Macaca fascicularis: one gene and its partner. The protein of the gene in region 1 purifies or fractionates together with the protein of each later gene. This does not show direct contact. Links are inferred from orthologs where the notes say so. Each region holds a gene or a part of one and is shown in the gene's direction. Other genes may lie near its edges.

The links.
Region 2: the proteins of ANKRD49 (region 1) and FKBPL purify together in Homo sapiens (affinity purification with mass spectrometry; 4 studies listed by BioGRID and IntAct, counting the BioPlex papers as one, with this or other methods). This does not show direct contact. The link is inferred for Macaca fascicularis from reciprocal best matches to the Homo sapiens genes ANKRD49 and FKBPL.

The regions. Positions count from the first base shown.
Region 1 is NC_088388.1:93,484,600-93,499,771, forward strand, and holds the end of ANKRD49 (ankyrin repeat domain-containing protein 49), read left to right. Parts: intron 1-2,565; 5' UTR 2,566-2,653; coding exon 2,654-2,911; intron 2,912-4,023; coding exon 4,024-4,485; 3' UTR 4,486-5,546; downstream 5,547-15,172. UniProt on the Homo sapiens protein: Induces HBG1 expression. May have a role in spermatogenesis where it promotes autophagy in response to serum starvation, via the NF-kappaB pathway.
Region 2 is NC_088378.1:139,576,163-139,591,902, forward strand, and holds FKBPL (FK506-binding protein-like), read left to right. Parts: upstream 1-8,706; 5' UTR 8,707-8,725; intron 8,726-9,336; exon of another isoform or gene 9,337-9,555; intron 9,556-9,795; 5' UTR 9,796-9,869; coding exon 9,870-10,919; 3' UTR 10,920-10,939; downstream 10,940-15,740. Other genes in the region: ATF6B (cyclic AMP-dependent transcription factor ATF-6 beta), read left to right, coding at 11,416-11,530, 11,897-11,976, 12,128-12,206, 12,451-12,542, 13,383-13,518. UniProt on the Homo sapiens protein: May be involved in response to X-ray. Regulates p21 protein stability by binding to Hsp90 and p21.

The DNA.
Region 1 (15,172 bases):
CAGAAGTATAGTGCAGCGAAAAATAATGTGGAACTTTTGAATTAGAACGTCTGCCCTTTCAGTTCCACTGAAGGGTCCTTGATCTAGGGCAAGTTGTTTTATCTATCTGAACCTCCTTCATCTGTAAGGTTTATACTCCCCCCACCCCCATCACTGAGTTGTTTGTAAGGAGTTGACATAGTTCGGATCTCTCTCAAAATAGGATATGCCCTTTAAGTTAGGAAACGTACCCTGATATTCCTGATGGAATATCAGGAATATCATCATCAAGTAATCAGTTTTGTTTTTAACTGTGAATCGGGTAGATGCGCCTAGGTTTGGCTTTTTAAACTAAATATACCAGTAAAATTTTATATATAATTTGTTGTATCTGAATCTGTAAACTCAAAATTTATATAAAGGGAGTTTTTATTAAAAGGAAAAGCATGTTGAGGAAGAGGATAAGATCTGTGGTATAAGGTTACTATATTTGATATAGTTACAAGTGAACTTTTATTTTTTAGCCTCTGTTAAGTGTTTAATGAATTGATGTATGGTCACTTTTGTGTTGCAAGGTTCAGGAATTAGTTTGAGAATCAAAGAAAAAGTGGAAGCTCCAGGAGAATTAATAAAATACAAAGCGATTCTGATTGGGTGTCTCTGATTCCAAGGGTAACTGAAAAGCCGGATTGACCTTAGAAACACTTTAGTAAAATTCTTACATTTTACAATAAAGTAACAGGTCCAGAAAAGTTACTGGATGTGAGTAATAGATTTAAACTTGAGTTTAGTGCTATTGCCACTAGTAATAAAATTTAATACCACATTAAGATTGTATACTGTTAAACTTGTGAGATTAGGTACCAGAAATCAGTATCTTGGGGGTATGCCTAACTCTGGAACTTCTCAGAATCCATTCCAGGCAAAATCAAGCGACAAGACTTTAATTAAATATAATGCTACACATACTTAATGCCTTCTATAGACAAGTAGGAGATATAAATATAAGTTAAATGTGGTCATTATCTTTAAACTTATAATCTTTTAAGGGGCAAAAACAAGAACAAAGTTAGTGGTGAAATACAATGTAGCACCAAAAAAAGTAGAAAGCAGAAAGTGATCTAAATGAGAGGATCAAGAAAGAATGGAAGAGATAACATCTGAGAAGAGCCTTGAAAGACTGATAAGATTTCGACAAATAGAGTTGGGAGGCTGGGTACTGGTATTTTTAAACTATCTATTGGTTATTCTCCTTTTCTGTAATTGATTAAGGTTTATATGCTGTGTAACTCTTTAAGCTGATACTGGTTTATAAATTAATATGACGGCTTAACAGAATAAACATCAGTTCCTTCAGGAAGCCTTCTTTAATCCCTTAGAACTAGGGGAATTATGAACTTCCTGTATACTCATGGTTTCTAGATAAAGTCTTGTAGTAGTACTTACCATGTTGTCTTTGCCAGTCACATGACGTCTTTGCCAGTCACCTACACTAGAGTAAGCTTCCTGAGGATCTTGCTCATTATTGAATCCCAGTACCCAGAAATTGACACATACCAGACATTCTATTCATATTAGTTGAATGAAGGAATGAATGACAGCCAAAATTCAGTTGAAAACAAGGACCCAACTAAGAACTATAGTTGCCTATCAATATATAGGACTACTTTTTAAAGCAGTGAATTTTCCTAGGCCTGAAATTATCAAAGTAGACATAGGATAATTAGTGTAGATGTTGTGATAAAGATATCTGCTCCAATGAGAGATTGGGACAGATGTCCTTTTGGGGGCTAACATCTTCAAGAATCCCTGATTCTTCCAAGTAGTTTTTTTAGGAATTAGAAGTTTTTATTTCTGCTCTATATTATCTGTGTGTCTAGTTTATAAAAATCTTGAATGCACCTTCTTCACTGTATTAGTTATACTTCAAAACCTTCAAGCATTCATCACTCTTAGCATAATACCATCATACCTAAACCAGTAGATTAAAAATAATAGTTATGGCCGGGCGCGGTGGCTCAAGCCTGTAATCCCAGCACTTTGGGAGGCCGAGACGGGCGGATCACGAGGTCAGGAGATCAAGACCATCCTGGCTAACACGGTGAAACCCTGTCTCTACTAAAAAATACAAAAAACTAGCCGGGCGAGGTGGCGGGCGCCTGTAGTCCGGGCTACTCGGGAGGCTGAGGCAGGAGAATGGCGTGAACCCGGGGGGCGGAGCTTGCAGTGAGCTGAGATCCGGCCACTGCAGTCCAGCCTGGGCAACAGAGTGAGACTCCGTCTCAAAAAAATATATATATAATATAATAATAATAATAGTTATATAATAATATAGTTGACTTAGAAGAAAACAACGAAAGTAAGAAGCGTTAGACCACTAAAGATCATCTGTGATCTAATAGTGGTCTAACGCTTCTTTCTTTCGTTGTTTTCTGTCAGCACCAGTATTTAGTGTATGTAAGGAATACCGTAAGAAAAACAAGAGTTTACACAGGGTTTAATTGTATATGTTTGCGAGACTTATCTATGCAGTTGATAAAGCCTGAATTATTGTTTTACTAATAACTTTTGTATTTGTGTTTTCAGGTCTTGATGAATAAAGCAGTCATAATTTATCTCTAGGAAGATTATACCCTGGCATTTGAAATGCTTTTTATTTAGAATAGTAGTAAAAATGGAAAAAGAAAAAGGAAATGATGATGGAATACCAGACCAAGAGAATTCCTTGGATTTTTCTGAACACTTTAACCAACTTGAATTGTTGGAAACACATGGACACCTTATTCCTACTGGTACTCAAAGTCTTTGGGTAGGCAATTCTGATGAAGATGAGGAGCAAGATGACAAAAATGAAGAGTGGTATCGATTGCAAGAAAAAAAAATGGAAAAAGACCCAAGCAAATTGCTTCTTTGGGCTGCTGAAAAAAATCGGGTAAAAAAAAAAGATTACAGAAGGAAGTGTGACAGTAGGAATAGCACTGGGTTCAAGCCAGAAGGCCTGCCTTTACTGTTATGGCCGTCATACCTATCTCTTGATTGTGAGGACCAAATGAGACAATGTACATGAAAGCACATATTAAGCTGCAAAGTGTCATGCTAGGTATTATTTGGGGGTTTAAGGATAATTATCTAGAAAGATAGCAAGCAATCATCTATATTTTAAAATCATTTATATAAAGTCATTAGGATCATTTAGGAAAGAGGATGGAAACTAACATTTATTAAATACTAACTATACCAGGTACCTTATTACATTATTTAATCCTCATGTATCTCTATAAGTAATACTCTTCTCTTTTATAGAGTAAGAAATTGAGATTCAGGAATATTAATTTGCCCAGGATCATCCAAGTGGAATGAACATCAAAAGCCTATTCCCTCTGCTTGGCCACTTCCACCTAATTTTACTAAGTTTCCCCATGTCTGTTTTAGTAAACTAATAACTAAAAGGGTCTTGCATTTTAAATAGCTTTTTAACCCAAGAGCATGCCACATTTAACCAGAGGCCCATAGAACAAACTAAAAATTACAACCTTAAAGGATGTTTCTAAGGTTGTATTGAGAAGGAATTGAGCTCTTAAATCCCTAGAATTCCCTATTAATACTTTATTCTTTTGTTAAAAGTTTTATTTTTAAAAGTTTCATACAGTGTATATATTGGTGTGATAATCCAATAGAAAAATCAAGCAGTTATGTTTTCTTCACAGATAACATATAAAATATTAAATACAATTAAAACCTATGATATTCATTGGACTGAAGCTTTTATGCAATGAACCTTAGCTGGACCAGGAGTAAGGGTATGGTTTGATATTCAGAGAATCTCATTCTTAGAAGCAACAAAGTATAGTTAACACTAACTTGTTCATTCTCACACCAGTAGTCCTCTCCTCCCAAAAAAGAGATCTTAAATTATTTTCATTTTAAAGTCATCTGCTAACAAGTTTTTATTCAACCTAATTAAATCTAACACCACAAGAAAATTTTGTTTTGGTTATTGTTTTGGTTTGAGTTGAGTTGAAAGATTTCCATTTTTCTTCTCAGCTGACTACAGTGCGGAGACTACTTTCTGAAAAGGCCACTCATGTGAACACTAGGGATGAAGATGAGTATACCCCTCTTCATCGCGCAGCCTACAGTGGACACTTAGATATTGTCCGGGAGCTCATTGCACAGGGGGCAGACGTTCATGCAGTGACTGTGGATGGCTGGACGCCCCTGCACAGTGCTTGTAAGTGGAATAATACCAGAGTGGCTTCTTTCTTACTGCAGCATGATGCAGATATCAATGCCCAAACAAAAGGCCTCTTGACCCCCTTGCATCTTGCTGCTGGAAACAGAGACAGCAAGGATACCCTAGAACTCCTCTTGATGAACCGTTACGTCAAACCAGGGCTGAAAAACAACCTGGAAGAAACTGCATGTGATATTGCCAGGAGGACAAGTATCTATCACTACCTCTTTGAAATTGTGGAAGGCTGTACAAATTCTTCACCTCAGTCTTAACAATTCTAGTAATTTTCTTAAGTTTCTAAGTACCAGTGCCTCCTTTGTGTGAGATATAAAGTATTCCCATAATCAAAGTTGACGTCAAACATCTTACTACAAAAATTCAGTGATATTCATTATAACATTCTTCCAAGTGAATTGCCTGACTTTGATGTCAGAATGTATTTAAAAGTAATTTGCATATATATTTAATGATTTCTGTGGAGTTCGTGATTTTTTATCAGAACTAATTTTAATGTGTGTATACTTAAAAACTTGACACGGGTTGTACAGAAACTGATATTTTTGGTGCTGATCCAAGAGAGATGTATTTTTAAATATCCCACATCCTGGATCTTTGTTGAGTACTTAGTATATTGACATATATTTTTATAAGGTGAGGTAACTCAGAACTTAATTTAGAAGTCTTAAATATTCTGATACAATTTAGCTGTCTTCTCTACCTTACCATAGCCAGTTGCTTTCACTTTAAACTAGAGCAAGTAACGTATTAGTGGCTTGCATCTTCATAAGTTAAAGAAAAAAACAGCAAAAAAGCTAGATCTTTGTCTTTTAGAACACAGACCATTTTCAGGAAAGCAGTTAGCGAGGTGTTTAATTCATGAATATTGTATACTGCCTCCCCTACCACAATTTACACAATCCTGTGGATAGTCCTACCTCACCCTGGTCAACCTACATGATCCTTATGCTAATGGCAAATCACAATGACCTTGTAGACATGCACACAACTATACCTTTGTCCAACAGATCATAATATATCTGCTATCCAACTGGTTTTACATGCCTAATCCTACTGATTGGGGCGCTGCTCATATAGTCTCTCAAGTTCACAGGAAATGTTGATTTTCTAAGGTCCTCATTTTTACAAACTATACAAAGCCTAAGTGACAAGGGAAAAGGAATTAGTCTAAGAGTAAGGGGATGATGATTATATTGAGGCTAAAACCACAAAGTGGCTCAGGCTTAAAAAAAAAAAAAAACACTGTGGATAATGACAAAAAGCATAAGTAAAAATATTTGAGAAAAATAAAGTAGAAGTTTTCAACAACACAAAAGGCATGAATTCATTTTTTACCTGTGTATGTCTTTCTTGGATCCAGAACATTATTCATCCAGCGTGCACTTAGTTATTTAATATCTACTCTCTCAGTTTCTCCAGCAGCAATTTTGCATTGTGTACCTAGCCCCTCTGTGATTGTTCCCAGAGTTTTGTCTTCTCAACATGAGAACACTCTAGGGGAAGAGAACTAAACCAATTGCTCTTTACTTCAGTTAAATTTTTTAAATGTCCACCAAGGCTTATCTCTTTCAAGCCATCCTATGTAACCCAGTCACCCTAGACTAAGTAATAATGTTATTTAATGAAATATTAAATATTTATTTTTGGTTAGAACTTATTAGATGATCTCAGAAAAGTCAGAGATAATACATGAACTGAATCATCGTGGCAACAGGCTCTTGAGAGTTAGTGCTTTAGTTTATGTTGTGAGCTCTGCCTAGGGAGATGCTTTGTGGCAGAAAGAGGTTGCTTTCTGTTTGATCTGGCCTAAGTTAGTGACACCAAATGACAGGTACAGCTGACAGGCAGTGATGATAGAATAAGACCTTATTTATCCAAGCAGACTGCTGAATGAGGCTGCTTAGCCTGAAAGTCACAGAACTGATGGCTCCTTTCTCATTTGAGAATGGATTGCACCCATGATTTTCCATGTAAACTTTCCATTTAAGTATGAAGCCAAAGAAGTCTTGTTTCCAATAAGGACCTAAGATGTGTCTACTCCCTTGTTTTCAGACCTCAACACTCACTGATGCTAGAGAGCAAATTCTACATATAAGACAAATCCCACCCCTGAGGGCAGAATTTGTATTGTCTGCTTCATTTATACTTTCCAGAACATTTACTAGACTGCTCTGTCCACAGAAGGCAGTTACTAATTGTGCTTTGAAAGGATTACTTCTACTTTCCAGTGTAGGCAGGCTAAATAGCTCAGTTTGCAAACAGAATTTTCTCTAATCTTGAAAAGCCTGTATGAAGACTTATTAAAAAATGAAATCTGAGTTTTTCATAACTAAGGGCTTAATTTTGATTAACCTATGCTTGAGGAAGAGATAATTTTTGTGAATGTTCAAGGTTCATATCATAATTCTTAGGCCTAAAGTGGAACTAGTTGGCTTTGCTTTTATGAATCTTAAATACGCTTTTCCAGGGAGCCTTCCAACCCACAGCCTACCACAGTGGTGGGATTTAAAGTCTTTATACTATAATATGAAGACATTTATTTTTATTATTTGACATCTATTATGTTATCTAACACTATGCTGGAAAATCATGATCAAAAGAAGCCCAGAGACTATTCTGAGATTTATGTCCTATACCAAAATGAAATCTCTGGATCAACTTTTGATTCCTGATCAACACATATACCATCTTGACCCTACCTACACTGGCTCTAGGAATTTATGCAACTACCTACGAAATAAGATCACCAAATCCTTGATTATGTCTTTCCTGTAATTTGTTTATCATAAGATGCTCCAGTCCATCTGTAGGGTTGCTAGATGACCACTCAATTTGTTCAATATGAAATGCTTTCTCTAAAGGATATTTAAGGTCTATGCTTATTAAGTTCAGAAGAGAGTAAACCAAGAAGGATTAAGTGTAGCTGATTGATGTTTTAAATTCCTGGAAATTTCCCTTTGAAACTCCAAAATTTTACTTCTCAGAACCTAAATGGAAATGATCTAAATCAGTGCCAACACATAGAAACATGTGGGCCACATATGTAATTTTATGTTTTTAGCATGACTATTTTAGATACCTCATATAAGAGGACTCATGCAATAAGGAGAGAATTGCATTTTATGGCACACAAACATAGATAAGCAAAAATCTTAGAAGTGGAAAATCATAAGAGCAATATTAAAACAAAAACAGGTAAAATTAATTATATGTATATATATTAGGATAATACATCCAAAATATGAAAGAAATATTTTAAAATTATTCAGATTTTTTTTTTATAGTAAATCTTCAAAATGCAGGGTGTATTTTAAAGCACATCTGAATTTAGACTAGTCACATTTCAAGTTCTCAGCCATGTTTGTCTAATGGCTAGTCCATTGAAAGCACAGATCTACATGCCTGAGTCATTCCCTGGAGGCAAAGAAGGATGGTTACACAGAGCATTACACTTTGAGTGAGACAAACTGAGTTCAAATCCTCAGTGCCACCTGTGGGTGACTTTGGGCAAAAAAAAAAAAAAACCTCAATTTTCTCATATGTAAATCAGGGATAATGTCTATCTTGTTGTAGGCTAGTTTGTTATTTAAATGTAAAAATCATATGGTGTAATTTATTTTGTCAATTTCTTTAATACTTTAAAAATAAATTTCAATATGAAATACATTGAAATCATATTGTTTAAAAAAAAAAAGCTACATGTGTTTATCAATGTCCTCCAGTCATCTTTTATGTAATGCATGAATGAAATCATCTGATCTTTATGAACGTTCTTATTGGTACACCAAACCTCTGTGACAATAGCTAACAACTGAGTGCTCACTGTAGGCCAACTATGCTGTATGTGCGTCGCTTGTGTGATACCATGTGAGCCTCACAACAACTCTCTGAGATACATATCATTGTACAAAAAGGAAATCAGGCTTATAGAACTTACACGGATTGCCCATTGTCATGCTATGTGCGCATGATGGAGGTTTGTCTATCTGGTTCTACCACCTTTCCTCTTCACCACATACTAGTATTTGACATGTATTTGTGAAGTTGATTAAAGAATGCATCATTTGGTGCATGTGTAGTGTATTTTCTTACGTTCCCAGAAAGCTCATGTTCAAATATCACAACTTTTTACCTGTGGTGTTTTTGAATATTATCTATATACCACCAGTTAGTCTGTCAATCATAATAACCAAAATTCCATTTTCTTAAATATTATTTTTATGTAGTTTATTTACAGTAGGGTTTGAGGACATAAAAATTACTATCAGGAGCAAAAGCAACTGCGTTTGCTTTTAAAGGTGCAGTTTATATTTTTTGAATTTAGTTACTTATATCTACTTTTAAATATGCTTGCCATTTATCCACATATAAAGTATATGTTGTACATAGGCTATAACTAAATTTATTTAATTTTTTTTTATTTTTGTTTTTTTTCTTTTTGAGATAGACTCACTATTGCCCAGGCTAGAGTGCACTGGCACGATCTCGGCTCACTGCAACCTCTGCCTTCTAGGTTCCAGTGATTCTCATGCCTCAGCTTCCCAAGTAGCTGGGATTACAGGCGTGTGCTACCATGCCCAGCTAATTTTTTGTGTTTTTAGTAGAGACCGGGTTTCACTATGTTGGCCAGGCTGGTCTTGAACTCCCGGCCTCAAGTAATCTGCTGGCCTCGACCTCCCAAAGTGCTGGGAATACAGGTGTGAGCCAGCATGCTTGGCCACTAAATCTATTAATTTTATTCCCCTTCCATGTAGGATTCCATACATGTGTGCAAATTTCTTGTTTTGTTATTGTGTGAACACTTAACATGAGATCTGCCCTCTTAAAATTTTAGTGCATAGTATTTTTTTATCTATAAGCACAATGCTTATAGATCTCTAGAATTACAGAGATTCTAGATTGTACAGCAGATCTCTAGAAATTACTCATCTCGTATAACTAAAACTTTATACTCATTGAATAGCTACTCCCCATTTTCCCTTGCCCCAGATCCTGGCAGCCACCATTCTACTTTCTGTTTCTAGGAGCATGACTATTTTAGACACCTCATATAAGAGGACTCATGCAACAAGGAGAGAATTGCATTTTATGGCACACAAACATAGATAAGCAAAAATCCTAGTAGTTGAAAATCCTAAGAGCCAAAGCAATATTTAAAAAGAAAACAGGCTCACACCTGTAATCCCAACACTTTGGGAGGCCGAGGTGGGCAGATCACGAGATCAGGAGATCAAGAGCATCCTGGCCAACACGGTGAAACCCCATCTCTACTGAAAATACAAAAAAAAAAAAAAAATTAACCGGGCATGGTGGCACACCCCTGTAGTCCCAGCTACTCGGGAGGCTGAGGCAGGATAATTGCTTTTCCTTGAATCCAGGAGGCGGAGGCTGCAGTGAACCAAGATCACGCCGCTGCACTCCAGCCTGGGCAACAGAGTGAGACTCCGTGTCAAAAAGAAAAAGAAAACGTTAAAGTCAGGATTTTTACAACCTGATTTTAAGACTAGCTATGAAACAACAGTATTGAGACAGTGTAGTATTGGTGGATGGACATGTGGATCCATAGAACAGAATACAGTCTAGAAATAAATTCAGATATAGATGATCAATTAATTTTTGACAAAGGTGTCAAGGAATGCAGTGGGACGTTCTCTTAAACAAATGGTGCTGGAACAACTGAATATATTCTTGGAAAAAACATGAACTCATTTATAGGCAGAAAGCAGTTCAGTGGTTTCTTGGTCACAGGGACAGAGGTTGGACTACAAAAGGGCAGAGAGAACCTTTTGGAGGTGATGGAAATACACCATAGCTTGATTGTGGTAATGATTTTGCAGGTGTACACAACTGTCAAAGTCACTGGGTTTTAAAGAGTAATGTAGGGTTTTTGTACATAAATTATATTTTTATGAAGTTGATTTTTAAAAATAGATATCCAGAAATAACTCATTTTATTCTTTTATTATTTTCCATGGCAAGCATAAGATGAACTCATCCTCAAATTCTAGGGATATATCTTCAGGGGGGGCCTGTTATTTAAAAAAATACATTTCACCAATTCACTGGAATTTTAAAATTCCAAGTAACACATCCTTTATAATCAGAAGGTGCAATCTCTCCATTAAATGACAGAATGGGAAACAAAATAATTGCTTTAAAATAATTAGTCCATTTGGCAGGATTCAAGAAATTTGAAAAGATAGCTAGTTACTATATAAGAAGGATTTGGTTGGCTTTTAATTTAAATCAGGACTGTTAGAACCTAAAAGAGGGTACCAAAGTGGTTTTAGCATCTACTTTTCCAAAGAAAAACGATAGCATTCAATGTCCCATTGTTTATTACTATATAAGAAGGATTTGGCTGGCTTTTCATTTAAATCAGGACTGTTAGAACCTAGAAGAGGCTACCAAAGTGGTTTTAGCATCTACTTTTCCGAAGAGAAACGGTAGCATTCAACATTCCATTGTTTATTTGGTTGTGCTGTAAGACAAACTGAGATGATTTCTTGAGACCTGTTTTAGATCTATAGAATTAAGCACAAGTAACATGAAGTAACCTATTTACTCTGGTAATATACTAAAACTTTTTATTTCTTTAAGACTTCATTTTTTTACATGAATGTGTAACTTTTTATTAGAAAACTTTAGTCTTGGGTTTTGTCTCCATCTAGTGGTCATGTTGGTCTTTTCCATTTACAGTCAGGCTTGGGTCAATGATGCATCGCCTACACTGACAGTGATCTCATGAAATTATAATGGAGCTAAATATATCCTATCACCTAGTGATGTTGTAGTTGTCATTATGTCATAGCACAACACATTACTCACATGTTTGAGGTGATGCTAAATGTAAACATACCTACTGCACTGCCAGTCATATTTACATACAACTATGTACAGAACATAACACTGGATAATGATAATAAACAACTATGTTACCGGTTTATGAATTTACTATAATATACTTCCGGTCATTATTTTATGGTATTCTTCCACTTATTAAAAAAAGTGAACCGTAAAACAGTTTCAGGCAGGTCCTTCAGGGGGTATTCCAGAAGAAGGCATTATTACCATAGGAGATGACATAGGAGTAACTCCGTGAGTGTTATTGCCCCTGAACACCTCCCAGAGGACAAGATGTGGAGGGAGAGGACAGTGATCATGATGACCCTCTGTTGGCCTAGACTAAGTATGTGTTTGTGCCTTTGTTTTTAACAAAAAAGTTTAAAAAGTAAAAAAATATATAAATAATGCATATTGAAAATACAAAAAAGCTCATAGAATGAGGCTATAAAGAAAAAAATAGTTTTGCATAGCTATACAAGGTGTTTGCATTTTAAGCTAAGTGTTATTACAAGAGTTAAAATGTTTTTAAAAATTAAAAGTTTATAAAGTCAAAAAAGTACAGTAAGCTAAGGGTAATTTATTATTGAAGAAAGAAAAATATGTTTGCATAAATTTAGTGCAGCCTAAGTCAGTAGTGTTGATAAAGTCTATAGTAGTGTTCAGTAATATCTTAGGCCATCACATTTGCCCACCACTCACTCACTAACCCACTCAAAGAAACACCAAGTTCTTCAAGCTCCATTTATGAAGTACACACTCTACAGGTGTACCTTTTAAAGTCAACTATACCATATTTTTACTGTACCTTCTCTATGTTTAGATTTCTTAAGATACACAAATACTTTCCTTGTGTTACAACTGCCTACATATGCAGTATAGTAACATGTTCTACAGGTTTGTAGCCTAGGAGCAATAAGCTATACCAAGTAGCCTAGGTGTGTAGTAGGCTACGCCACCTAGGTTTGTGTAAGTGCATTCTGATATTTGAACAAGGATGAAATTGCCTAGTAACACATTTCTCAGATACCCCCATCATTAAGTGACGTATGTGTAATTGAAATTTTTAAAGGATAAGCCAACTATCCTGGGGTTTTTTCATTCTGTTTTTGTTGTTCATTTTTAGTTTTTTTGGTAAGGATTGAAAAACTATGGAGTACTATGCTTATTACCTGGGTGATGACATAATTTGTACACCAAACTCCTGCAACATGTAATTTTCCCATACAGCAAATGTACCCCTGAACCTAAAAAAAAGTTAAAAAGAGAAAAATGGAAACCACAGTTCATACCTAAAACAGTACCTTTCATACTTATTTGCATCAGTAACTTCTTTCAAGAGAATATGCATTGGTATATAATTGAAGACACACATATAACGATTGGAAATTAAAAAAATCAAAAGCCATTTAGAAGGAGAAAGAAGGAAATAAACCACCTAAATCAATATTGTTACTAAAATTGATAGATTATCTTTAAGGTTTTTGGTAATGAAGAAAAAAGAGGAAGACAGTAATTGCTTTTTTTTGTTTGTTTTTGAGAGAGGGTCTTGCTCTATCACCAAGGCTAGAGTACAGTGGTGCGATCATGACTCACTGCAGCCTTGAACTCCTGGACTCAACTGATCCTCCAGCCTCTGCCTTCTGCGTAGCTAAGACTACAGTGCAAGCCACCACGCCCAGCTAATTTTTTTATTTTTCTTTTATAGAGACAGAGTCTTGCTATGTTGACCAGGCTGGTTTTAAACTCCTGGCCTCAAGCAATCCTCCTGCCTTGGCCTCCAAAGGTGCTGGGATTATAGGTGTGAGCCATGGTGCCCAGCCCTTCTTTATGTTTGTTTTGTGCATATTTTTTAATTTGATCAAATAAACCACATTTTTATGAGTAAAAATATTTTTAGACATTTTTTCTAAATAAAATATTCTTAATTTTTGTATAATTTTATAGAACTATAGCATACACAAAGTAAAATTCAGAAATCTTCGTGAATTCTTCAAAGTGAATAGGGTTATGTAACTATCACCCAGCTCAAGATCTAGAACATAATCAGCACCTCCAACAGCTACTTTGTGCTTCTGCTCAGTGTTCCCTCAAAGGTAACTACAATCTAACTTTTATTTCCATCATTTAGTTTTGCCTACATAAATATAGTAACTTATGTATATTTTTGCGTTTGGTTTATTTCACTCAACATTACATCTATGAGATTTGTCCATTTCTGCATGTAGTAGGGTTTTGTTCTTTTTATTGATGTATTCTGTTATACAAATATGTAATAATTTATATATACATGATATTGTTAACTTTTGGTGGGATTTTGCATTGTTTACAGTTTGGGGATTTTATGAATAGTGCTGCCATAAACATTCTAGTACATGGTTTTGGTGTACGTACTATACCTTTCAGTGCATATCTAGTAAAGCCTGCTGAGCCACAGGATGTACTTATATTCCACTTTAGTAAAAACTGCCAAAACACTTCTCCAAAGTAGTTGTACCAATTTACACTCTTAGCAGGAAATGAGAGTTCCGATTGCTCCAACATGCCCATGGCTCTTGTTACTGCCAGGTTTGTTGATTTTCATTTCTTTTTTTTAAATAGCCATTCTAGTGGGCCTGTAGTATTAGCTCATTGTAGTTTAATTTGCATTATCCTGGTGACCAATGATGTGAAGCAATGTTTTTATGTGTGCTGACTGACCACTTGGATCTCCTCTTTCATGAAGTGCTTCATCTTTCTCCATTTTCTTTCTGGGATGTGTCATTTCTTATTTTTACAAGTTCTTTATATATTCTCAATACTAGTTATTTTTGGGATATATGCTCTCTCAGTCTGTGGCTTGCCTTTTCACACTCTTACTGGTGATTTTAATGAAGAGAATATCTTAATTTTATTTATTTATTTACTTTATAGAGACAGGGTCTTGTGCTGTTGCCCAGGCTAGAGTGCACTGGTGTGATCATAGCTCAGTGCAGCCTCAAATTCTGGGGCTCAAGCAATGCTGCCTCAGCCTCCCAAGTTGCTAGGACTACAGGTGCATGCCACCATGTGCAGCTAATTCATGTATTTGTTTTTGTAGAGACAGAATCTTGCTATATTGCCCCAGGCTGTTCTCAGACTCCTAGGCTCAAGCCATCCTCCTGCCTCGGCCTCCTAAAGTGCTGGTATTACAGGCATGAGCTACAGCATCTGGCCTGAGAATATCTTAATTTTAATGACCCTAATTTATCTATTGCCTTCTTTTGATTGGTGCTTTTGGTTTCCTGGTTGAAAAATATTTGTCTACCCCAAGATCATGAAGGGTTTTTTCATTGTTATACTCTAGAACCTTTTGTGTTTTACCTTTAGTGCTATTTTGAGTTGATATTTGCATTTGACACATGGTAGGAGTAAAAGTTCATTTTCCCATATTAATATCCAATTTATCAATGCCACTTATTAAAAGGAATAGCCCCTCACACACACACAAATACACACACACTACATTGCAGTGAAAGTTTTGTCATTTATCTGGTGATCATATTTAGTTGGGTCTGTTTCTAGACTCTATTTTGTTTCATTGAGCTATCTTTGCCCCAATACCCCAGTTTTAATATTTTGGCTTTATCGTAAGTCTTATTATGTGGTAGTGTAGATATTCCAACTTCACTCTTATTTTTCAAGGTTGTTTTGACCATTCTTGCCCACTACATTTACCTTTTTTTTTTTTTTTTTTTGAGACGGAGTCTTGCTCTTTCACCCGGGCTGGAGTGCAGCGGCACTATCTCGGCTCACTGCAAGTTCTTCCTCCTGGGTTCAAGCCATTCTCCCGCCTCAGCCTCCCCAGTAGCTGGGATTACAGGCACACACCACCACACCCAGTTAATTTTTGTATTTTTAGTAGAGACGGGGTTTCACCACGTTGGCCAGGCTGGTCTCAAACTCTTGACCTCGTGATCCATCTGCTTCAGCCTACCAAAGTGCTACATTTACTTTCTAATTTTAGAATCTCCTTGTCAACATCTATTTTAAACAACCCTGCTGAGATTCATATTGGGATTACATGAAATTTCTAGATCTAGTTGAGGCAAATTAACATCATTGTAATATTCGGTGTTA
Region 2 (15,740 bases), on another chromosome or scaffold:
TAGCAGTAAGACATAAGAACAAGGATCTGTGACATGAATAAGTTTAAAGGAAAATCCTGTGCCTTGAGATAAACCTTTTAGCAACATTGTTTCATCCTATCACATGGGGATAAACCTTGGACAATACCTAGCTTTTCTAGGAACAAAGTCACACCCTGCACGCCCAAAATCCATTAAACCTTGAGTTACCACAGCACATGTCTCTTGCAAGGACAAGGTTGGGGGTAGGGTCACAGATTAACAGCATCTCAAATACAGAACAAAATGGAGTCTCTTACGTCTACTTCTTTCTATATAGACACAGTAACAGGCTGATCTCTTTCTTTTCCCCACATTTCCCCCTTTTCTTTTCAACAAAACCACCATTGTCATCATGACACCGAGATTACATACTTCACAAAGTAATAGAATATCACAAAGCAAGTGGAGGCAGGATGAGATCACAGGATGGTGTTAAAATTAAAATTTTTGGGCATGCATAGTCATGGATAACATCTTGTCAGAAAACAGGGTTTGAGAGCAGACAACCTGTCTGACCAAAATTTATTAGGTGGGAATTTCCTCGTCCTAATAAGCCTGGGAGCACTACAGGAGGCCGGGGCTTATTTCATCCCTTCGGCTTCAACCGTAAAAGGCGGCACGCCTCCAAGGGGGTCGTTTATAGGCCTACCCTCAGAGCGCATTCTCTTTCTCAGGGGTGTTCCTTGCTGAGAAAAAGAATTCAGCGATATTTCTCCTATTTGCATAATGAAAAGAGAAGAAATATGGCTCTGTTCCGTCCGGCTCACCGGCGGCCAGTTCAAGGTTGCCTCCCTTGTTCCCTGAACATTGCTGTTATCCTGTTCTTTCTCCAAGATGCCCTGATTTCATATTGTTCAAACACACATGCTCCACAAACAATTTGTGCAGTTAAGGCAATCATCACAGGGTCCTGAGGTGACATATATCCTCCTCAGTTTACAAAGAAGATGATAGAATTAAAAGATTAAAGTAAAGACAGACATAAGAAATTACAAAAGTATTAATTTTGGAGAACTAATAAATGTCCATGAAATCTTCACATTTTATGTTTTTCTGCCGTGGCTTCAGCCAGTCCCTGCGTTCAAGGTCCCTGACTTCCCGCAACGTTCTCCCTCCCTTTTCCTCTATATAAATGTGCCATGGTGATGAAGGCTTGTTCGTTAGTCAATGGTGCTCGATTGCAGTGTTTCCGTCTCCGTGGAGGCGCTTTTCTTTGCATCTCCGATGGGTTCATTGTAGAACTTCAAATGTCTAGTGGGTATCCAAACAGGAAGCTGATTTTCTCCTGGTGAAACACAAGCAAAACCTCTTCCCCAGGTTATCACCTTCCCTATTTCCCATGTCTTATTTTTGTTGTCTTTCCACCAAATCAGTTTTCCTTCCTGTGGACTGTTCTTTTTACCAGTAAGATGTTGTTCTGCAGAAGTAGTAGTCTGATTTCTATAAATGTTTAAAAAATTTAAAGTATAGAGTGCTAGATTAAGCTGCATCTGAGGAGTGGTACACTCCTTACTGTCTCCCCCTTTTTTTTGTTTAACTAACTGAGTTTCGAGTGTTCTATTAGTTCTTTCAACTATGGCCTGTCCTTGGGAATTATAAGGAATTCCTGTTGTATGTGTAATATTCCACTGATTTAAGAATTTTTGGAAAGCTTTACTACAATAACCTGGTCCATTGTCAGTTTTAATTTTTTCTGGAACTCCCATTACAGCAAAACAAGATAATAAATGTTTTTTAACATGGGAAGTACTTTCTTGATTATCTGGTCCTAAACAATGTAAAATCATTGTACTTTCGTACACTTCTGAAGCTGTGCCTGCGCCGACAAGTCTTGTAACAGCCTTTTGTTTAGGCCAATTTTTTGGCCACTGATTTAAAGCAATGACAGAGACATCTGCTCCAGTGTCTACCAACCCTTCAAACTCTTTTCCTTGAATGATGGCCTTACACACAGGTCTGCTCTCAGAGACCAGATTTGCCCAATATGCAGCCTTTCCTGTTGGATCAGTGCTTCCGAACCCTCCTGTTCTTTTTATCTCACTGTTTCCAACTTTAATATAAGGTAGGAGTAATAATTGAGCAATCCTGTCTCCTGGACTGGCACTCCAAGGAATTGAGGAACTAATAACCAATTGAATTTCGCCTTTAAAGTCTGAATCAACCACACCAGTATGAATTTGAACTCCTTTTAGATTTAAACTTGATCTTCCTAAGATTAGTCCTACAGTCCCCTTAGGCAATGGGCCATATACCCCTGTGGGGATTTTTTGTGGAGGCTCCCCTGGAAGCAGAGAGACTGCTTGTATGGTGCATAAATCTACTGCTGCACTGCCGCTTGTGGCGGGGGATAATTGCTGTATTGTGATAACTGGCTTATTCCCTGAGACACTTGTGGCAGTGGGGGTTGTTGTTCCTGAAAACCCTGAGGAACAAAGGGCTGAATTTGGAATGCCCCAGTTTGTTGCGGGGCCTGAGGCTGGCCCCTCCTCTCGTTTCCCGACAGTGGTTGCCCATTTTTATCAAATTTAGAACGACATTGATTAGCCCAATGTTTTCCCTTTTTACATCTTGGACATAGGCCAGGTGGCTCTTTATCTGTTCTTGTAGTAGCTTGAGTAGTTACATTTTGTTTATTTGAGACTAGGCAATTCTTTTTTAGATGACCAATTTGACCACAATTATAACATCTTCCCCCAAATGTTCTAACCTGTCCTCCTAAAGCGACTCCTGTGATTGCTTGAGCCATAAGCATAGCTTTATGTATAGCTCCTCCAATTCCATCGCAGGCTTTAACGTACTCTGAGATTACATCTGATCCTGCGGGAACCCTTCCTTTTAATGGCTTAATGGCTGATTGACAATCAGGATTGGCGTTTTCATATGCCATCAACTCCACTATGACCTTACGGGCATTCTCATCGGTAATTGACTTTTGAGCAGCATCTTGAAGTCTTGCTACAAAATCAGGGTAGGGCTCTTTAGAGCCTTGTCTTATTGTATTAAAGGAGGGGCAGGCGGTTCCTGGGTCTTGGATTTTCTCCCAGGCCCTAAGGCAGATAGCCCTGATTTGCTCAATGGCCTCATTTGGCATTATTACTTGTTGGTCAACAGTGCTCCAATTTTGACCTATTCCTAATAGTTGATCTGCATCTATGTCAATTGGAGGATTGGCAGTCCTATTTTTTCGGACCTGTACTTGTGCCCCATCAATCCACCAAGTCTTAAATTGTAAAAATTGAGAGGGTGAGAGTGAGGATTTTGCCAGAATCTCCCAATCATAAGGAATGAGTCTATGTCCATGAGCAATGGAATCTAATAATGTTCTCATGTAAGGAGAGTTGGGTCCATACTGTTTTACTCCTTCTTTCATTTCTTTTAGCATTTTTATAGAAAAGGACTTATATCTGGCTTCAGCTACGGGAAGCTCTCCCTCTTGGGCCCCTTCTCCAGGTGGTCTTGCTTCTAATATTACTGGGAATTGCCACGCCTCAATATCTCCTTGTTTTCTTGCCTCATCAATAATTTTATGTAACGCACTACCCTGTGTACTAGGCAGTGCTGTAGGATTAAGTCTCATGGTGGGCGCTTGAGGATATGGTACCCTGCCCTGTGGCGCTAGAAATGTTCCTGGCTGTCCACACGGATTTTCTGGGGGCAACCGATACCACAGTTCGGCTGGCAGCCAGTATTGATAGGCTACTGGCGGCTGGGTCTTATCTTCTACCGGCTGATATTGTGGACACTGCATTTGGAATGGCATTGCCATGACAGAAACTCTATCTTTTTCTATTTGATCTTCTTTTGCAGTTTGTACTTGTTTAACCTGCATTTGAGGTTGTAAAGTTACAGGCATTTGAGCTGCTGGAAGAGCAGTTGGCCATCGTGGTTTAGACTCTGATGGCTCTGCTAATTCTGGATTTTTTTCTTCTAATTTTAACGTTTCAGGATATACTACCTCCTGTAATTGATTATCGTCAACATTTTGCGTTGACCGAGCCATAGCCGGCTCTGATACACATTCACAGTGTGAACTTTCCTTTCCTTTCCAGGATTCTATCCTTGCCTCTTTTTCACAATCTACTGCACAGCTTTTAGGGACATCAGAAATTGGAACGCTATCTTCTTCTGTTTGCAACGGTTCTAAAGCTACTTTAATAATGACCCAATCATTCCATACTGTGAGCGGAATGATTTTACCTTCCCTGCTTGCTTGTTTTAATTCTTTGCCAATTTTTTCCCAATCTTTTAGATCTAAAGTTCCCTGTTCCGGAAACCATGGACAAAACTGCTCTATTGTTTGAAACAGCGTAATTAGATTTTTGGTAGAGACTTTAACTCCCCCTCTTTTTAAGAGAATTTTAATAAAGCTGCGATAGGAGGCATATTTACTCTTAGTTTGCCCCATTGTTACCCTAGGTTCTTCCGAGCGCACAAGCTTACCGCAAGGCTGACTGTAGACGTACTCGGGAGTCTCTCGTCGACTTGTCCTCAATGACCACGCTCCAGCGTACCTTCACCTTAGAGAAAAGCTTCCACGTTGGGCACCAGATGAAGGGGTGGCCTGCCCCTCCACACCTGTGGGTGTTTCTCGTTAGGTGGAACGAGAGACTTGAGAAAAGAAATAAGACACAGAGACAAAGTATAGAGAAAGAAAAGCGGGGGCCCAGGGGACCGGCGCTCAGCTTACAGAGGACCCACGCCGGCACCGGCCTCTGAGTTCCCTTAGTATTTATAGATAATTATCTTTACCATCTTAAAGATAAGGGAGTGGCAGGACAATAGGATCATTTTTAGGGAGGAAATTAGCAGTAAGACATAAGAACAAGGATCTGTGACATGAATAAGTTTAAAGGAAAATCCTGTGCCTTGAGATAAACCTTTTAGCAACATTGTTTCATCCTATCACATGGGGATAAACCTTGGACAATACCTAGCTTTTCTAGGAACAAAGTCACACCCTGCACGCCCAAAATCCATTAAACCTTGAGTTACCACAGCACATGTCTCTTGCAAGGACAAGGTTGGGGGTAGGGTCACAGATTAACAGCATCTCAAATACAGAACAAAATGGAGTCTCTTACGTCTACTTCTTTCTATATAGACACAGTAACAGGCTGATCTCTTTCTTTTCCCCACACTCCAGCCTGGGTGACAGAGCAAGATGCCATCTCAAAACAACAACAAGAACAAAAACCAACCAAACAAACAAATTCCTTGAATGACTGAATGGATAAGCAGTTCATAGAGTTGTGTGAGAGGAAAATAAGCTAATATATACAAGACATTTAGAACAATGCTGGGTATTATGATCATAATGCATGGCCAGCGTTTGGTAAAGTGAAGCTGTTATCATTAAACACTTCACTGCCGAAAAGGCTGCCTCCCTCCTGCTTGAAAACCCTGCCTATAAGGGAAGCACAGTAAAATGCTTTGGGGCCAAAAAGGAGGGAGGAACGATTTTGACACAAATCCCAACAAAACTAGAAGCCACAGAAACCACCAAAGCTAAACAGAAGGGGAAATTTATTTAGCTTTTGGAAAGCTAGAATTTTTGTCTCTTGTGCAGATAATAAATGGAAGAGAGTAAGTACAGCATATGGTTCCATGTGGTGAGTATGGAATGCAGGGGAATGTGAGAGTGTAAAAACTTCCAACCAGCTCAATGCCTGGTGACAGGGCAGCACAAAGGAGTATTGGAGTAGCCTGGGAAAACTGAGACTCACAAACTGGAGAGGAATAATCCTGGGTGTTAAGTGGCTTTCCTTACTTCTCCCGCCTTGTGCTGCTTCCTCCACCTGCAATTAATCTCTTCCATTTATTTTTCTTTTTTCTTTTTATTTTTCTGGTTTGTTTGTTTGTTTGTTTTGAGGAGTCTCGCTCTGGCGCCAGGTTGGAGTGCAGTGGCACCATCTCAGCTCACGGTAACCTCCGCCTCCTGGGTTCAAGCGATTCTCCTGCCTCGGCCTCCCGAGTAGCTGGGACTACAGGTGCCCGCCACCATGCCCAGATAATTTTTGTATTTTTAGTAGAGATGGGGTTTCACCATGTTGGCCAGGCTGGTCTCAAACTCCTGACCTAAAGTGATCTGCCTGTCTTGGTGCCGTGGCTCACGCCTGTAATCTCAACACTTTGGGAAGCTGAGGTGGGCGGATCACTTCTGGTTGGGAGTTTGAGACCAGCCTGGTCGACACGGTAAAACCCCATCTTCACTAAAAATACAAAAATTAGCCAGGCATGGTGGCAGGTGCCTGTCATCCCAGCTACTTGGGAAGCTGAGGCAGGAGAATCGCTTGAACCCGGGAGGCAGAGGTTGTAGTGGGCTGAGATCTTGCCATTACACTCCAGCCTGGGCGACAGAGTGGTACTCCGTCTCAAAACAAAACAAAAACAAAAACAAAAACAAAAACAAAAAAACCAGGGAGGGAATTGTTTTGACACCAGTCTTTGGCTAATGATGAAACTGTCTCCCTTCCTGGCTGTCCTGGCATGGTCGTTATAGTCTGAGGCACAATGGTGAGAGCAAACTGAAGAGGGAGCCAAAGTGAGGTACTCAGAGTAGGATCCTTCTTTCCTGGAGAACTGTGGTAGCCCAGGCTGTGTAGGTAGCTGGACAAGCAAGACTGAATCACAATAGGTCTCTAGATCTTCTATTAGGAGGAGTAGCTGCTACACCCAGTGGAGCAGGTTACACCAGTTATATATGCAAAATGTAGGATAAACTAAAAGGGCACAGAGCCAGGGGAGAAACAATGGGATGAGACCATTCTAGAATCTCATCCCATTGGTTCATTGCTGGGTGTGGTAGCTCACACCTATAATCCCAGCACTTTGGGAGGCTGAGATGGGAGGATAGCCTGAGGCCAGGAGTTTGAGACCAGCCTGGTAAACATGGGGAGACCCCATCTCTCTAAAAATAAAAATTAAAAAAGTGTGGTTCATGAACCAGCAGCATCTGCATTAACCAACTTATTGAAATGCAGAATCACATGCCCCACGCCAGACTTCCTAAATCATAATCTGCAATTTAACAAGTTTCCTAGGTGATATGTATGCACACTTATGTTTGAAAAGCACTAAGATTTCTTGATGAAGGAGGGCTTGAAAGGCAATGATGGATGTGAAAGGAAAGGTGAAGAGAAGCCTCAGGCAGTCAAGGAACAAGGTCGGTTGGAGAGAGAGTCCCGAGGGTTTATCTTTGAATACCCTGTACTGAATGAGCTCCGAAACATAAAGATAGTTAACATAGGAGGGCCTGAAGTCTCCAGATAAAAGGCTGCTGCCACTATCACTTACCACCACCTCTGCCATTCTCCACTCTATCATCATCTGCCCCAGTCTCCATTCCAGGACTTCTCTACACTTTGACTTTTTTTTTTTTTTGAGACGGAGTCTCGCGCTGTTGCCCAGGCTGGAGTGCAGTGGCATGATCTTGGCTCACTGCAAGCTCCGCCTTCTGGGTTCCCGCCATTCTCCTGCCTCAGCCTCCCGAGTAGCTGGGACTATAGGCGCCTGCCACCACGCCCCGCTAATTTTTTGTATTTTTAATAGAGACGGGTTTTCACCGTGTTAGCCAGGATGGTGTCGATCTCCTGACCTCGTGATCCGCCCGCCTCGGCCTCCCAAAGTGCTGGGATTACAGGCGTGAGCCACCGCGCCTGGCCTTTTTTTTTTTTTTTTTTTTTTTTTTTTTTAATTTTTTTTTGAGACGGAATCTCACTCTGTCGCCCAGGCTGGAGTTGCCCTGGCGCGATCTGGGCTCACCGCAACCTCCGCTTCCTGGGTTCATGCGATTCTCCTGCCTCAGCCTCCGAGTAGCTGAGATTACAGATGTGCCTTATGCCAGGCAAATTTTTTTTTTTTTTTTGTAATTTTAGTAGAGGCTGGATTTCACCATGTTGTCCAGGCTGGTCTCCAACTCCTGACCTCAAGTGATCCGCTCCCCACCCCCCGCCGCCTGGGATTACCGCCGTGCGCCACAATGCCCGGCTCTTTTTTTTTTTTTTTTTTTTTTTGAGAGGGAGTCTTGCTCTGTCGCCAGGCTGGATTGCAGTGGCAGGATCTTGGCTCACTGCAACCTCCCACTCCCTGGTTCAAGCAATTCTCCCACCCCAGCATAGCTGAGGTTACAGGCACACTTCACTGTCAGGCCTCTGAGCCCAAGCTAAGCCATCATACCCCCTGTGACTACACGTATACCCAGATGGCCTGAAGTAACTGGAAAATCACAAAAGAAGTGAAAATGGCCTGTTTCTGCCTTAACCGATGACATTACCTTGTGAAATTCCTTCTCCTGGCTCAAAAGCTCCCCCACTGAGCACCTTGTGACCCCCACCCCTGCCCGCCAGAGAACAATCCCCTTTGACGGTAATTTTCCTTTACCTACTCAAATCCTATAAAATGGCCCCACCCCATCTCCCTTCGCTGACTCTCTTTTCGGACTCAGTCCGCCTGCACCCAGGTGATTAAAAAGCTTTATTGGTCCCACGAAGCCTGTTTGGTGGTCTCTTCACACGGACGCAAGTGAAAGCCACCACGCCCAGGTAATTTTTTGTGTTTTTAGTTGAGACAAGATTTCACCATGTTGGCCAGGATGGTCTCGATCTCCTGACCTAGTAATCCGCCCACCTCGGCCTCCCAGAGTCTCAGTCGCCCAGGCTGGAGTGCAATGGCGCGATCTCAGCTCACTGCAACCTCTGCCTCCCAGGTAAGCCATTCTCCTGCCTCAGTCACCCGGGTAGCTCGCATACAGGCGCCCGCCACCATGCCCGGCTAATTTTTGTATTTTTAGTAGAGACGGGGTTTCACCATTTTGTCCAGGCTGTTCTTGAACTCCTGACCTCAAGTGATCCGCCCGCCTCGGCCTCCCAAACTGCTGGGATTACAGGCGTGAGCCACCACGCCCGGCCCACTTTTTTTTTTTTTTTTTTTTTTTTTTTTTTTTGAGACGCAGTCTGGAGTCTCCCTCTGTCGCCCAGGCTGGAGTGCAACGGTGTGATCTCGGCTCACTGCAACTTCTGCCTCCCGAGTTCAAGCTATGCTCCTGTCTCAGCCTCCTGAGTAGTTGGGATTACAGGCGCGCGCCACCATGACCTACTAATTTTTGTATTTTTAGTAGAGACAGGGTCTCACCATGTTGGCTCACTTTGATTCTGGCCTGGCCAGCCCGACCTCGCCAAATTCTGTTCGATTCTGCCTAGTTCTGTTGCTCTGGCCTAGTTCAGTTGCTCAGTTGCTAAGGCCTAGAGCTTCATGGTTGCGGAGGAAATGATGTCACGTTCAATAGGCGGGCTAAACAGTTCCTCCCTCCTCCCGATTGGCTGCCAGGAATTTGACTAGATTCGGAGTCTCGCGAACTCCAGGGTTAGTCGTCAGTATCTTTCCCAGTTGTTCCGCCCCCCTCCCCTCTGCGGCTGCCCTCTCCGCGTGGGGCAAGGCTCCGAGGGCAGTATTCAGTAACCATTTAGCTTTGGAAGGAGAGGTGATTCCCGTGGCCCGGCTCCTCCTGCCACCATGCTAGCCACTTTGGCCGCGGAGGTACTTATTGACCCGACCGGGTGTCCGTAGTTGGCGCGGCTACCTTAACCGCAGGGAATTGTGGAATATATAGTTCTAAGTTATATATGGGTGGAACGGGGAAGCTCGAGCAGATTTTTGGAGGAAAGTAATATTGGGGACTTTGAGGACTGGGGGCCTGGGTCTCAGAAGAATAGGAAAGAACGAGAAAGGAGTCTAAATAAGAACCCTGCTATTAGCATTGTTTGGTTTTCTTTACAGGTGCTGACCTGAACCTGATTCATCCCTTTCTGACCAAAACTGTTCACTCATGGTGGAAGGGACCAAGCATTCAAATGGAGACGCCAGCAGTCAGTACAACTGGAGAAAAGGACACCTCTCAGCCGCAACAACAGTGGGAAAAGAACCTTCGGGAGAACTTTGATTCAATTACTCAGATTAGGCAGCAGCCCCGAGACCCTCCTACCGAAACACTTGAGCTGGGAGTAAGCCCAGATCCAGCCAGCCAAATTCTAGAGAATACTCAAGGAACTGAAAAACTGGTTGCTGAACTTGAAGGAGACTCTCATAAGTCTCATGGATCAACCAGTCAGATGTCAGAGGCCCTTCAAGCTTCTGATCTCTGGTACTGTCCCGACGGGAGCTTTGTCAAGAAGATCATAATCCGTGGCCATGGCTTGGACAAACCCAAACTAGGCTCCTGCTGCCGGGTACTGGCTTTGGGGTTTCCTTTCGGATCAGGGCCGCCAGAGGGCTGGACAGAGCTAACAATGGGCGTAGGGCCATGGAGAGAGGAAACTTGGGGGGAGCTCATAGAGAAATGCTTGGAGTCCATGTGTCAAGGTGAAGAAGCAGAGCTTCAGCTGCCTGGGCACTCTGGACCTCCTGTCAGGCTCACACTGGCGTCCTTCACTCAAGGCCGGGACTCCTGGGAGCTGGAGACTAGCGAGAAGGAAGCGCTGGCCAGGGAAGAACGTGCAAGGGGCACAGAACTATTTCGAGCTGGGAACGCTGAAGGAGCTGCCCGATGCTATGGACGGGCTCTTCGGCTGCTGCTGACTTTACCCCCACCTGGCCCTCCAGAACGAACTGTCCTTCATGCCAATCTGGCTGCCTGTCAGTTGTTGCTAGGGCAGCCTCAGTTGGCAGCCCAGAGCTGTGACCGGGTGTTGGAGCGAGAGCCTGGCCATTTAAAGGCCTTATACCGAAGGGGGGTTGCCCAGGCTGCCCTTGGGAACCTGGAAAAAGCAACTGCTGACCTCAAGAAGGTGCTGGCGATAGATCCCAAAAACCGGGCAGCCCAAGAGGAACTGGGGAAGGTGGTCATTCAGGGGAAGAAGCAGGATGCTGGGCTGGCTCAGGGTCTGCGCAAGATGTTTGGCTGATTAAAAGTTAAACCTTAAAAGAGACAGGAACTTGTGAATTGTCGTCTGTGCTGTGAGATTTGGGGTTAGGGGGCCAGAGGGAAGGTTTCAGCCCATATCCCATTCTCAGCTTTTGGCTTCCTAGAGGAGGTAGCAGTGGTCCCACTGCGCCCCTTTTGAGGGACTTAGCTATCTCCGAAGACACACAGAAGCTGTCTAAACTAAACTTAGTGGCTGGGGGAGATGGTGGACCTTAATACTGGGTACTACATCTCCCAGGCTCTTTATCACTGGAGCCTGTTTGGCGCATGCGCTTGGCGGTCTGGCACTGTCTGGAAGTTACTTCCTGCTGCAGTGCTCCCATTGGGCCCGCCTACACAGCCATCCGCGTCTGTTGATTCACGTGCTCAGCATCCAGGTCTCTTACTGGTCGGTAGGGCTTCCGGGACGCCCCCTTTTTTAAAAGAGTCAACTGATTAGTTGGTAATGGGGAGAGGCGGGCCTTGGGAACCGTCTCATGGTTGGGGGGTGGGGGGGAAAGATGGCGGAGCTGATGCTCCTCAGCGAGATTGCCGACCCGACGCGTTTCTTCGCCGACAACCTGCTGAGCCCGGAGGACTGGGGTCTGCAGAGTGAGGCCCCGGGGAGGGGAGGGGGCTATGGCAAACTGTGTCCCTGAGGCACGCGGGAAAGAAGCAGAGGCCTAAAGAGGAAGTCTGGGCAAATACGGAATCCGCCATCTGAAGGAGGGCGGAACAGGGGGATCGTTGTGCATTAAGGGGATACAAAAGTCGGGGAAGAACTGCTCCCTGCTGGAACGTCGAGTTGTTCCGGGGTCGGAGAAGGAGGGGCTGAAGTCCTCTGGTTGTATCACTTTTCAAGTGGGCGGGCGGTGGGTCTGGCCGAGCGGAGCCAATGAGGGATGGGGCGGGGGCTTGTGTGCGATCTGTAGGCTGGGCCCACTAAACGACCCCCCTGACACTCGGTATTCTTTGCAGACAGCACCTTGTATTCTGGCCTAGATGAAGTGGCCGAGGAGCAGACGCAGCTCTTCCGTTGCCCCGAGCAGGATGTCCCGGTATTGTGTCCCCCAGCCTTTCTCTAACCCTTAGTGGGTGGAAAGTGAGCCCAGAACCTGGACTCATTCACAGGCCAGAGCTCATCTGGAGTCACCCCTACTTTCTCACCCTTTCTCACACTCCTGTCCTCTTATATCCTCCGTTATTTAGTTTGACGGCAGCTCCCTGGACATGGGGATGGATGTCAGCCCCCCTGAGCCCCCATGGGAACTCCTGCCGATCTTGCCAGGTAAGGTAGACTTTGTGGTTCCCTCAGCTTTCCAGAAACCCTCATTTCCCACTGTTTCCCAGAAACTACGTAGCTTCCTATATTCTCACACCTCTAGGTAAGTGCCTATCCTCTCTCCTTCAATCCCCAATTTTTGTTTCTTCTCCCTCGCTGTGGTGCGGGAATCCCCACAGACATGTCCTTGGGTACTTTTTGGACTCTTCTCAAACTGCTTCCTGATAATTTCTAACTCCCTTTCCTCCAGATCTTCAGGTGAAGTCTGAGCCGTCTTCCCCCTGCTCTTCCTCCTCCCGCAGCTCCGAGTCATCACATCTCTCCACAGAGCCCTCCAGCGAGGTGAGAGCCATATCCCGCCTACTCTCTGTGGCAGGGACTCTATTTCATTCCCTTCACCCGTGGGTGACAAAGAAGTGATTTAAATGATTTGTGTACTGTGAGTCATGAGGTGTGTGAGGTGTGGGGGGCCTTCTCCACTAACTTTGCCATTTCCTTAATATCCTCATTTTCCACATCCCTTTTGGTTATCTAGCAGTGAAGATGTTTTTTGTTTTTTCTTTTTTTTTTTGAGATAGGGCCTCCCTCTGTCACCCAAACTACAGTGTAGTGACATGGTCACGGCTTACTGTAGCCTTGATCTCCTGAGCTCAGATGATCCTCCTGCCTCAGCCTTTTGAGTAGCTGGGACCATAGACACATGCCACCATGCCTGGCTAATTTTTTTTATTATTGTTTGTAAAAATGGGGTCTTCCTATGTTGCCCAGAGTGGTCTTAAACTCCTAGGCTCAAGTGATCCTCCCACCTTGGCATCCCAAAGTGCTTGGATTACAGGTATAAGCCACCACGCCTGATCTGGGGTCTTTTTAATATAAAGAGTTATGTGGGGCTGGGAAGAAGAGAGTTATTAACTGCTGAGAATTCTGGAACTGTTCTTGCCCAAGTTGTCCACTCTAAGGCCATATTTGAAATCATGAGACTTCATCAGTTCTCCCAGAAATAAAGTAGAAAGAATGAACAGGATAGAAAGATGCTCAGTACCATTCAGACCAGAATGTCAAATAATTGATGGCTTGTAAGCCCTAAACTTCTAAAGCTTTTTGTTCTTGCTCTTACTGTCAACATCTCCCGTGTTTTTTGCCCTTCTTTCTGCCTCCTGCCCCACACCAACTCTCACCCAGGCTCTTGGGGTAGGGGAGGTGCTCCATGTGAAGACAGAGTCCTTGGCACCCCCACTGTGTCTCCTGGGAGATGACCCAACATCCTCATTTGAAACTGTCCAGATCAACGTAGTCCCCACTTCTGATGATTGCTCAGGTAATAACAGCCTGGCCCAAATCCTCGGCTTTACTACAGGAGAATGTGTTTTGTGTGTGTGTGTGTGTGTGTGTGTGTGTGTGTGTGTGTGTGTGTAGATAGAGGGGAAGTGCAGGCAGCAGGACAGGGAGAAAAAGGTCGGGAGGGGAAATGGCAGAAAACCAGGAGGGAAGGCAGGAAGGAAAGGAAACATTTCAGGGAACCGCAGCAAGGGCAGTGCTGAGGAGATGGAGATCATTTTTCTCTCTTTTTTTTGTTCTAGTATTCTGTCATGCCATTCAACTTGCTTTTTAAAAAACGTGAGCAGTTTAGGGCATATCTATCTGTGTGATTCCCCTCCACCCAACATTTTATTATAAACATTTTTGTTGTTGTTGAGACAGGGTCTCACACTGTCGCCTAGGCTAAAGTACAGTGGCGTGATCTAGGCTCACTGCAACCTCCACCTCCCAGGTTCAAGTGATTCTCCTGTCTCAGCCTCCCAAGTACCTGGGATTATAGGCGCCCGCTAATTTTTTGTATTTTTAGTAGAGATGGGGTTTCACCATGTTGGCCAGGCTGGTCTTGAACTCCTGAACTCACGATTCGCCCACCTCAGCCTCCCAAAGTTCTGGCATTACAGGCATGAGCCATCGCGCCCAGCCCATAAACATTTTTAAACATACAGAAAGGCTAGAACACCATATACTAAACTAGATTCTACAATTAACATTATTTGTTCTGTTTTTAAAGTGTTCTCAAGTTTATTTACTCATAGCTGTTTCTTTAGTAAATGTTTATTGATGTGATCATATCTGAGGTATAATCATTTTAAAAAAGAAATATTTATTAAGTACCTACTCCATGCCAGATACTGAGCAGAGTCCTGGGCATGCAAAGACCTGACCACCATGCTGACTTTCTTTTTTTTTTTTTTTTTTTTTTTTTTTTTGAGACGGAGTCTCACGCTGTTGCCCAGGCTGGAGTGCAGTGGCGCGATCTCGGCTCACTGCAAGCTCCGCCTCCCGGGTTCCCGCCATTCTCCTGCCTCAGCCTCCTGAGTAGCTGGGACTACAGGCGCCCGCCACCGCGCCCGGCTAATTTTTTGTATTTTTAGTAGAGACGGGGTTTCACTGTGGTCTCGATCTCCTGACCTTGTGATCCGCCTGCCTCGGCCTCCCAAAGTGCTGGGATTACAGGCTTGAGCCACCGCGCCCGGCCCATGCTGACTTTCAAACCCTGTGATTTAGTAATGGGAGAAAGACAAGTACCAGTCAATACAGGTGTGGTCATTCTAGGATAGAAATCAGTAGAGGTGGGGCCGGCGCAGTAGCTCACGCCTGTGATCCCAGCACTTTGGGAGGCCGAGGCGGGCGGATCGTGAGGTCAGGAGATCGAGACCATCCTGGCTAACACGGTGAAACCCATGTAGAGACAGGGTTTCTCCATGTTAGACTGGTCTTGAATTCCCGACTTCAAGTGATCCGCCCACCTTGGCCTCCCAAAGTGCTGGGATTACAGGCATAAGCCACCATGCCCAGTAGACATGTCGATTGTTGATTTCAAAGTACCTTCTGGATCTCCTGGCACCATCTCTCACCGGCTGAACTCCAACCAGGGAGCCCACTTATGCAGTCCATTCAGGTTCTTCCTGGATCTCAGAGCACAGCAGGGAGAGATGGAGAGTGGATTTGGAAGGACAAGCAGATTATATCCAGCAGATTAATAAATGTCATAAAGAAGACACACAAAATAAGGATTGAAATACTGTGGCCGGGCGCGGTGGCTTATGCCTGTAATCCCAGCACTTTGGGAGGCCGAGGTGGGTGGATCACGAGATCAGGATATTGAGATCATCCTGGCTAACACAGTGAAGCCCCGTCTCTACTAAAAATATAAAAAATTAGCCGGGCGTGGTGGCGGGCACCTGTAGTCTCAGCTACTTGGGAGGGTGAGGCAGGAGAATGGCGTAAACCTGGGAGACAGAGCTTGCAGTGAGCCGAGATCACCCACTGCCGTTAGCAGCAAAAAGATTGTTGGTGGCTTTGCATCACATAGTGTTATTAGAGTCAGATTCTCCTCCATACTTAGGTATTTTTTGAGGGCCTGTACTTTACCCTCAATGGACATGAGATATAGTTCTTACTTTTGGGGAGTTTTATAAGGGTTATAATACATCATGGTTAAATAGTTACCCTTTTTTTTTTTTTCTTGAGACAGAGTCTTGCCCTGTCACCCAGGCC